2 linked regions of the Canis lupus familiaris genome follow. The protein of the gene in region 1 interacts with the protein of each later gene in a biochemical or structural test. Links are inferred from orthologs where the notes say so. Each region holds a gene or a part of one and is shown on either strand. Other genes may lie near its edges. The genes, in order: CDK9 and GTF2F1.

Region 1 (4,347 bases):
GAATCAGACAGACCAGGGATCCCTGGGTGGCGCAGCGGTTTGGCGCCTGCCTTTGGCCCAGGGCGCGATCCTGGAGACGCGGGATCGAATCCCACGTCAGGCTCCCGGTGCATGGAGCCTGCTTCTCCCTCTGCCTATGTCTCTGCCTCTCTCTCTCTCTCTCTGTGACTATCATAAATAAATAAAATCTTTAAAAAAAAAAAAAAAAAAAAGAATCAGACAGACCAGGTTCCAGTCACAGCGCTGTCACTCTGTGACCTTGGGCAAATGACCTCACCACTCTGAACCTCAATGCCCTCTTCTGTAAAATGGGCTAGTTAACCTGCCCATGGGGCGCCTGATTGAGGATTCAGCAGGATTCAGCAGGAATGCCCAGCGATTCCTGAACACACAGGAGTTCTGAGCAAATGCTAGCCATTTTTGTGATTACTGACCCGGGACTGACCCGCTCGGACGCAGCTGGGTGGGCATAGGGCTCCCGCGGGTCTCATCCCTTCCTCCCAGAAAATTGGGGGTCCAGGGCAGGAAGGCCCGGGCGTTGCTCGCTCGCCGTCTCCAGTGTCGCCGCGCCCCCTAGCGGCCGTCGGTTGCCATGTCAACGGCGGGCGGCTGGGGCCTGGGGAGGCGGCGGCGGGGGCCGTTCTCTCCTCCCAGGACCGGAGGCCGCTCCCTCGGCGCCTCCCGCCTTTCCCAGCGGAGGGGCACTCCGAGCCGGGGAGAGGGCTCTCCGCGGCAGCTAGCATGGGGGGGTAAACTGAGGCACGCGACAAAGCGCTCCGCAGCCAGGTGTCGAGCTCGGGGCCCCACCTCCGAAGGCGGAGGAGGGGCCGCGGGCGGTGACGCGCCGAGGGCGGCCGGCGGACAGCGGGCGGCGGCGGCGGCGGCGGCGGCGGCGGCGGCGGCGGCGGCGGCAGGTGCGGCCGCGGAGGGTGGGAGGGAGGAGGGAGGGGGGCGGGCGGAGGGGGAGGGGAGGGCGAGGCCAGGGCACCTCCCCCTTTATAACGCGCCCCCTCCCGGGCTCTCGGGCCACCTCCTCGTCGGCTCTTCCCATCTCGCCCCCTTGCCCGGCCGCCCCGGGCCCGGGCCCGGCCAGGGAGACCCCAGGCCGCGGCTCGGGGGCCACCCCCCCGCTCGCCGCCCCGCGCAGCCCGGCGGAGGCGGCGCCGTCGGAGGAGGAGGAGCAGGGCACTGCGGCTGGCCCCGGATCGGGCGCCAGAGCGGCAGCGGCTCCGGCAGCAGCGGCGGCCCGGGCCGATGCAGCGGGACGCACCGCCCCGAGCCCCAGCCCCGGCGCCCCGGCTCCCCGCGCCCCCGATCGGGGCAGCCGCCAACAGTGGCGGCGGCGGAGGCGGGGGCAGCGGCGGCGGCGGAGGCGCCTCTGCAGCTCCGGCTGCTCCTGGCCTCCCGGGAACTACAAGTCCCAGGGGGCCTGGCGGCGGGCGGCGGACGGAAGAGGCGGGGTCGGCGCCGCGAGGCCGGAAGTGGCCGTGGAGGCGGAAGTGGCGCGGCCGCGGAGGGGCCTGGAGCACGGCGGCGGGACCCGGAGCGGGAGCAGCGGCGGCGGCGGCGGCTGGGGGCGGCGGCGGCGGCGCGCTGGAGGCGGCCATGGCAAAGCAGTACGACTCGGTGGAGTGTCCCTTTTGTGATGAGGTGTCCAAATATGAGAAGCTCGCTAAGATCGGCCAAGGCACCTTCGGGTAAGGCTGCGCCCCCGGGGGACCAGGCGCTCTGGGCCTGCACCGCTCAAATCCGACGTCACGATGCCCAGGGCCGGGCCCGAGGTGGTCGGGAAGGCCATGAGCGCCAGACGTGTCCCCTGGTTTTGCTAGGCCGCGCTGCGGCCCGCCTGGGCCTGACCGAGCCGGCTGGCGGGGAGGAGCCTGAGGCCTGTGATGGGGGGCGGGGAGGGGTTACGGAGAGGAGCCAGTGGTGGGAGCGGGCTCTCCGAGAGACGCCTGAGTGAGGAGACTGAGGGGAGGAAGTAGAGGCTCGAAGCTCCGCAGATAGCGGGTGGCAAGGTAGGGCAGTGCCCTGGGTCCCCGGCCCAGCCCCGCCCGGGGAATCCCTTTTTTCTGCCCCCCTCCTCTGGTGGGGGAGGGGCGGGCCCTGCAGAAACGGCCTGATAAAACCTCTTGGGTCTCCCTCTCGGCCTGCAGGGAGGTATTTAAGGCAAAGCACCGTAAGACCGGCAAAAAGGTGGCTCTGAAGAAAGTGCTGATGGAGAACGAGAAGGAGGGGGTGAGTATGGGCCGGGTGGGCGGGCCTGCCAGCTCCCCTGGGCTCGGGGTTGGGTTTCCACCCTGCTTCTGCTAGGGCTCTCGTCTGGAGAACCTGTGTGTCTGTGTGTTGGGGGGGGGGGGGTAGTTAGGCAATTTCCGTATTCGGGGAATTTGGCTTCCAAATTGAATTTTTTAATTCAAATGTTTTAGAGCTTTTGATATCCCACTCTTAGGTAAATACGGTTGGGGCCAGGAGGGGGAGCTCATGCCTGCAGAGTGTGCCTTAGTTCCTGAAGTTAGGAAGCCTTTAAACACGGTTTCCTTAGCATTCATTTTGCATAAGGCGGAAAGAAATTCCACTTGGTGGTTTTAAGGGAGTGGCTGGTACTCAGTTGAAAAGGAGCAGTCCCCTCCCTTGCCTCATTGTAGCCCTAGTCCAGCTTCCCAGAGACCTGCTTAGCAAGGACATTTCCTTAAATAGCTGTTTGTTTCCACCTAGTAAGTTAAATACAGGTATAGAGCTAAAACTTAAATATTGAAGAAACTGTGGAACATTTATTTAGTGACGAGTAGTGAAGTGTGTAGGTATTAAGTCCCACTGTTTCAGTTCATTGTCTCAGAGCAACTCATTGAGGGGCACATACTATTTTTACACCCATTTTACAGCTAAGACATCTGAAATGATGTCAGAGCCCGGGACCTTACTCGTTTGCTGCACCTGTGCCCCTTGATCTGGACCACACGGTTGTTCATTGGTCTGTTCATTGGTCTATAGTTGACTCGCTCACCTCAGGCCCCCTCTTGCCTTTCTCCTACCCAGTTCCCCATTACGGCTTTGCGGGAAATCAAGATCCTCCAGCTTCTGAAACACGAGAATGTGGTCAACTTAATTGAGATCTGTCGAACCAAAGGTAGGTTCTTTGGCTCCTGCCCCCCTTTACAGATGGGGAAAATGAGGCTTACTGCCTAAGGCTTTGCAAAGTTGGAAGTGGACACACCTAAATTGCCTCTTCTTAACCCAGACAAACCGACTGTGACTGCTCTTGGGTCCTTCCATCGTAGCTGTTGCTCCTCGAGGGCCTGCCACAGCACCCAGCCCAGAGGAGGCACTCAGGAAATAGTTTTCCAGTGAAGGAAGGCACAGCCGAATATCCCAGTGTCCACGGGCTGGAGGGGTAGAAGCTGTGTGGGGAAATGAGTTGCACGTGGGGTTTTTTACTTTCTTTTTCTTACTCCTCCCCCATTCTTCCCTCCCAGCTTCCCCCTATAACCGCTGCAAAGGCAGTATATACCTAGTGTTTGACTTCTGCGAGCACGATCTTGCTGGGCTGCTGAGCAATGTCTTGGTCAAGTTCACACTGTCTGAGATCAAGAAGGTCATGCAGATGTTGCTCAACGGCCTCTACTATATCCACAGAAACAAGGTGGGGGTCAGCATGGGGTAAGAGAGACCCGGGCTGGGGTGGGCCTCGGCTCCCACCGCTGGGTGGGTGCGACTGAGGGTTCCCCTTGGAAACCTGATTGAGCCCTCTTGCGCTTCCTGCAGATCCTGCACAGGGACATGAAGGCAGCTAATGTGCTCATCACTCGCGATGGGGTTCTGAAGCTGGCCGACTTTGGGCTGGCCCGGGCCTTCAGCCTGGCCAAGAACAGCCAGCCCAATCGCTATACCAACCGTGTGGTGACGCTCTGGTACCGGCCTCCGGAGCTGTTGCTCGGTGAGGACTCCCGAGCGGGCGGAGTGGGGCAGGGGCTGGGCACTTACCCGGCCTCAGTCCCCCACTGCCAGGGCTTCTTGAGCCGCCGGCCCTGGGGCATTGCGTCTCAGGAGGCCCTCGGGCTCAAGGGGCCCTCCTGGTGCGCTCTTCTTCCCAGGGGAGCGGGACTACGGCCCCCCCATTGACCTGTGGGGTGCTGGGTGCATCATGGCCGAGATGTGGACCCGCAGCCCTATCATGCAGGGCAACACCGAGCAACACCAGCTTGCCCTCATCAGCCAGCTCTGTGGCTCCATCACCCCTGAGGTGCGTGGCCAGGCTGCCTGGGCCCCTGGTCCCCACAGGACGCAGAGATCCAGAAGTCCTCCTGGCAAGGGAGGAGTGGGGAGTGAAATAGCAGGAAAGTTCTG
Region 2 (4,330 bases), on another chromosome or scaffold:
GTATATCCACACAGGGCACGGGTTAGCGCTGCTACAGGGGCGGGTTTGGGGGGCTGCGAAGAGGATGCAGACTGCGAGCAGGCCATGCCCTCTGCACACAGCATCTCCTTGAAAACCTCAATGACTCGATTGTCCCGTTTGACAGCTGAGGAAACAGGCTCAGACTTGCGCCCCCTCTGGGCCATCCCACAACGCCCTCCTCCTCCTTCCCTCTGGTCCAGCCCCCCTGGCCTCTTCTGTCCCTTGAACTTGCCAAACTCATCCCTCTCCCGCTGCTCCCCCTGCACGCCAAGTCCCTGCTCCGCCGCCTTCAGGACACAGCCCACCCGCCCGCCCATCAGGCTTCCCCTCCCGACCTCCCCCCGCATCATCCCGTCCCAGGGCCACATTTCCTCCACTGCAGCAGCCACGGTCAGCTAGGATTTTGCCTGTTTCCTTGTTCTTGTCCGTCTCCCCAGCCACACTCTGTGCTCCGGGAGGGCAAGGACCAGTTCTGTCTTGCTGGTCCCCGGGTTTCTACCAGTTGCCACGGTCCCTGACGTGCGGTAGCGGGTGATGAGCAAACGAAGGTGCGTGGCTACCAGGCGTCTCTAAGGCAGCGCAGTAGTCGATAATGCAATTTCCGTGTCTTGCTTCCCTCCCGCTTGGCTTAGTGAATTCCCAGGCATCCCACAGGGCCCAACGTAAACTTTAAACCTCCCCTCTCCTGGGGGCCGCAGAGCCGGCTCCTCTCTCCCCGTGGCAGCCCTGCTCCCTCCTGCTCGCCGATCCCATTTTTCTGAGACTGTCTCCTTCCCTGTCTACACTGTCATCTCCTGGAGGCCGGACAGCTAGTGTGACATACTCGCCGTGGAGTGCCCAGAACCCCGCGCAGCAGGTGCCCAAGCGGATCAAAGCGCGGCTGATCCTCGAGCACGTGCAGCTCGGTGGGTGGGGGGCGGGGCGTGTGCACACCGGCCTGGGGTGTGGGGTACCTGCACCTCCCTCGTGCCCTTCACGGCCTCCTTCCTCCCCCCCGCCCCGTGAGCCAGCCGCCCCTGCGACGTTACCCTTCTCCTGGGGTCGCAGGGGCCTGCCCACCTCGGGCAGCTTGGACTTGCACAGACCCATCCCACCAGCGGCCCTGGGGTGGTCGCGCCCCATCCCCACCCGGGCCCTGACTCCTCCTCCTGGCTCGGCTCTACGTCACAAGGGCCCGATCACTTGGCGAGACGATGAGGTCTCCCCGGGGCAGAAGGAGGAAATGAACCCAAAGGGGCGCAGCTGGCGGCGCCCCAACAGCTCGGCGCGGACTAAGAGGCCCCGGTCGCTATGGTGACGCGGCCTCCTCCGACTCACTTCCGGAGTGCAGTGGCGCATGCGCGAGGCGCCCGAGAGCTCGCGAGGGAGGCTAGGTTCCTCCCTCCTCTCCCAGGACGCCCCGCGGCCCCCGGATGTGATGTCACGAGGAGGCGTGGCCACAGGCTGATTAAATCAGTCGCGCTTTATAGAGAGGCGCGACGCGGCTTCCGCCGCAGCCGGGGTGTCTTCCGCGTCGGGGTCGGTCTGGGCCGTCCGCTCCGCGGGACTCGGGGAGCTAGGTGACGCGGAGGAGGTTGCCGTCGCGCCGCGGCCCGAGTGTCACGTCCAGGTTAGGCGCAGGCGCAGACGCGGCCGGAGCGGTTCCCCGAGAAGACCGACTTCTGGGTAGCGGCCCCCTCGATCCGGGCCAGAGACCCGACGGCGCGCGGGCGGCTTCCCCGGGACTGAGGGGCGCGGGCCGCAGCGGACCCGAACCCCCGACCGTCACCATGGCGGCCCTCGTGAGTACACGGGGGAGCTCGGGGGTCGCGGCGCGCCGCCTCTGCAGCCCCCCACTCACCCACCGCCCCTCCTTCTCTGCCCGCAGGGCCCCAGCAGCCAGAACGTCACCGAGTATGTCGTCCGAGTTCCCAAGTAAGTCCCGCAGCCCTCTCCCCGCTTCCTGAGCTCCCAGGCCAGCCTGGCGCCGCCGGTGATGCCGCCTCCCGAGGAGCAGGGACCTGGGCCCAGGGCTGGGGTTGAGCGAGGTGCATCCCGTGTTTGCAACGGAATGAATGAATGAGCCCATTAGTGGGCGGTACGTCGGATGCAGCCCCCTGGCCTAGCCTTCTCTCGGCAGGAAGGCCTTTTCCCTGGCGTTGTGACTCCTGTCGGTCCTATAAAACCCAGCCCCACGATCTTCCTCCTCTGGGAAACATGCCCTGCCTGCCCTCCCCCGCCCCCGCCCCCAGGACAGAGGTCTCCATTATTCCCACACCTTGGGCACCCCCCGTCCCCCGACCTTTATGCCTCCCCTCCTGCTCTTCTTCAGCAGAGGGGTCGGGAGAGACCGGGAACCCCTGAGGGCTTCTGTGGGTCCCCAGCGTTGCTGAGCCAAGGGAGGGTTTGTTAAATGAACGGTGAACTGAGAGCAGCCCTCTTTTTGCCCACCCCAGAAACACAACGAAAAAATACAACATCATGGCCTTCAATGCTGCTGACAAAGTCAACTTTGCTACCTGGAATCAGGTAAGTCCCCGTTGGGAGTGAGCGTAAGAACCTGATCCTGCAATAGGCGCTTAGTTACAGTGGTAAAACTAAGGCTTGGCTTCGACCCCGCTCCCCGAGTGGGGATAAGACGATGTACTGAGGCCCAGGCTGAGCTGCTAGGGATCCCTGTGAGGAAGATTGGGCAGGCCCCACAGGAGGCCTCATGAAAGGATGGCATTTAGAAGTTGTGCCCCCTGACGGGCATTTCCAGCCTAGAGTCATCTGGGCAAGGCCGAGGGGGCTGCAGCCTGCAGATGGTTTTTGGAAGCTCTGTCCATGGGTGCTGCTACAGCAGAATACCGCAGACCGGGTGGCTTTTAAACAACACATATTTATTTCTCACGGTTCTGAAGGCTAGGAGGTCTGAGAGCAAGGCGCCAGCAGATGTTTGGTCTGGTGAAGGCCTGCCTCCTGGTTCGTAGATGTCTGTCTTTTTACTGTGTCCTCACGTGGCAGAGGGGGTGAGAGAGCTCTTAAGAGGGCACTCATCTCATTCACCAGGACTCCACCCTTCGGACCTAATCCCCTTCTCAAGGCCCCACCTCCCCATACCATCACACCGGGAGTTAGGTTTCATCATATGCATTTTGGGATAAAACACAAACATTCAGGGATCCCTGGGTGGCGCAGCGGTTTGGCGCCTGCCTTTGGCCCAGGGCGCGATCCTGGAGACCCGGGATCGAATCCCACATCGGGCTCCCGGTGCATGGAGCCTGCTTCTCCCTCTGCCTGTGTCTCTGCCTCTCTCTCTCTCACTGTGTGCCTATCATAAATAAATAAAAAAAAAATTTAAAAAAAAAAAAAAAAAAAAAAAAAAAAAAAAAAACACAAACATTCAGTCTATAGCAGAAACCTTTAAAGGGTTCTAAACAGGGGAGTTATAAACTGATCTGGGTGCTATAGGATCAGGGGCAGACAAAGGGTGTTGCAGGGTGGAGGCGTCGGCGGTGGTCCAGGTGAGTGACGACTGGGCATGGAGCAAACAGCGGTTGTGAGAAGTCAGTGGATTCTAGTGTGTTTTAAAGTGGAGCCAACATGATTTGTTAATGATTGGATGTTGACGGGTGACAGGGCCGGATGGACAGAGTATTGGGAGTTCAGTTCTCAACATCTTATATCAGACACCCAGGAGGAGACAGTAAATAAGCAGTGGAGCATCTGAGTTGGGAGACTGGGAGGGAGCATCTGGGCATTGGGGGCAGCATTTGAAGCCACAGAGACTGGACCAGCCCAGCACAGGAGTTGGCCCAGGTCTAAAGTTGGCAGCTTCAGGCAGCTCCTGCTGCTCATCCTGTTTTCAGCACCGGTCTGTCTTTTGACTGTTTTTAAACATCCCTTCATCTAGTTGAGCAAGTGAGGCTATTTGAAAGAGACGTTAGTCCCTCTGGATATTGGGCAGGTGGATGCTTGCTCAGGGCACCCTCTTCCCTTGTAGGCTGCCTGCCCCCCAGCATCTCCAGCCGTATGCACATTCATATACAAACTAACATGCTCCCCCAACCTCTGGTCTCACCTAAATTACCCAGAGAAGGTGGAGTGTTTCCAAATCCCTGATCACTCTGGGGGTGGGGGTGGGGTGGGGCATTCTTTATCACTGATCATCCAAGAGGGAGATACCCACACATCAGGGGGTCCCAGCTTTAAACACCCCTCACTAAGAGGAATAACTTGGTAAATACCTTGGGAACATACTAACATACTACCGCCATCCCTCATTGAGTGGGAGAGCCCCTTTTCCCTCATCCACAAGAAACCAGAGGAACCTGCCCCTCGTCACCCA

Evidence for each region.
Region 2: the proteins of CDK9 (region 1) and GTF2F1 form a complex in vitro, tested with the Homo sapiens proteins (2 studies listed by BioGRID, with this or other methods). The link is inferred for Canis lupus familiaris from reciprocal best matches to the Homo sapiens genes CDK9 and GTF2F1.

Annotation. Positions count from the first base shown.
Region 1 is NC_049230.1:55,704,447-55,708,793, reverse strand, and holds the start of CDK9 (cyclin-dependent kinase 9), read left to right. Parts: upstream 1-1,537; 5' UTR 1,538-1,605; coding exon 1,606-1,697; intron 1,698-2,156; coding exon 2,157-2,238; intron 2,239-3,039; coding exon 3,040-3,130; intron 3,131-3,476; coding exon 3,477-3,643; intron 3,644-3,765; coding exon 3,766-3,937; intron 3,938-4,094; coding exon 4,095-4,243; intron 4,244-4,347. UniProt on the Homo sapiens protein: Protein kinase involved in the regulation of transcription.
Region 2 is NC_049241.1:54,168,389-54,172,718, forward strand, and holds the start of GTF2F1 (general transcription factor IIF subunit 1), read left to right. Parts: upstream 1-1,327; 5' UTR 1,328-1,790; coding exon 1,791-1,802; intron 1,803-1,888; coding exon 1,889-1,935; intron 1,936-2,456; coding exon 2,457-2,529; intron 2,530-4,330. Other genes in the region: adenylate kinase isoenzyme 1-like, read right to left, coding at 1,050-1,143. UniProt on the Homo sapiens protein: TFIIF is a general transcription initiation factor that binds to RNA polymerase II and helps to recruit it to the initiation complex in collaboration with TFIIB. It promotes transcription elongation.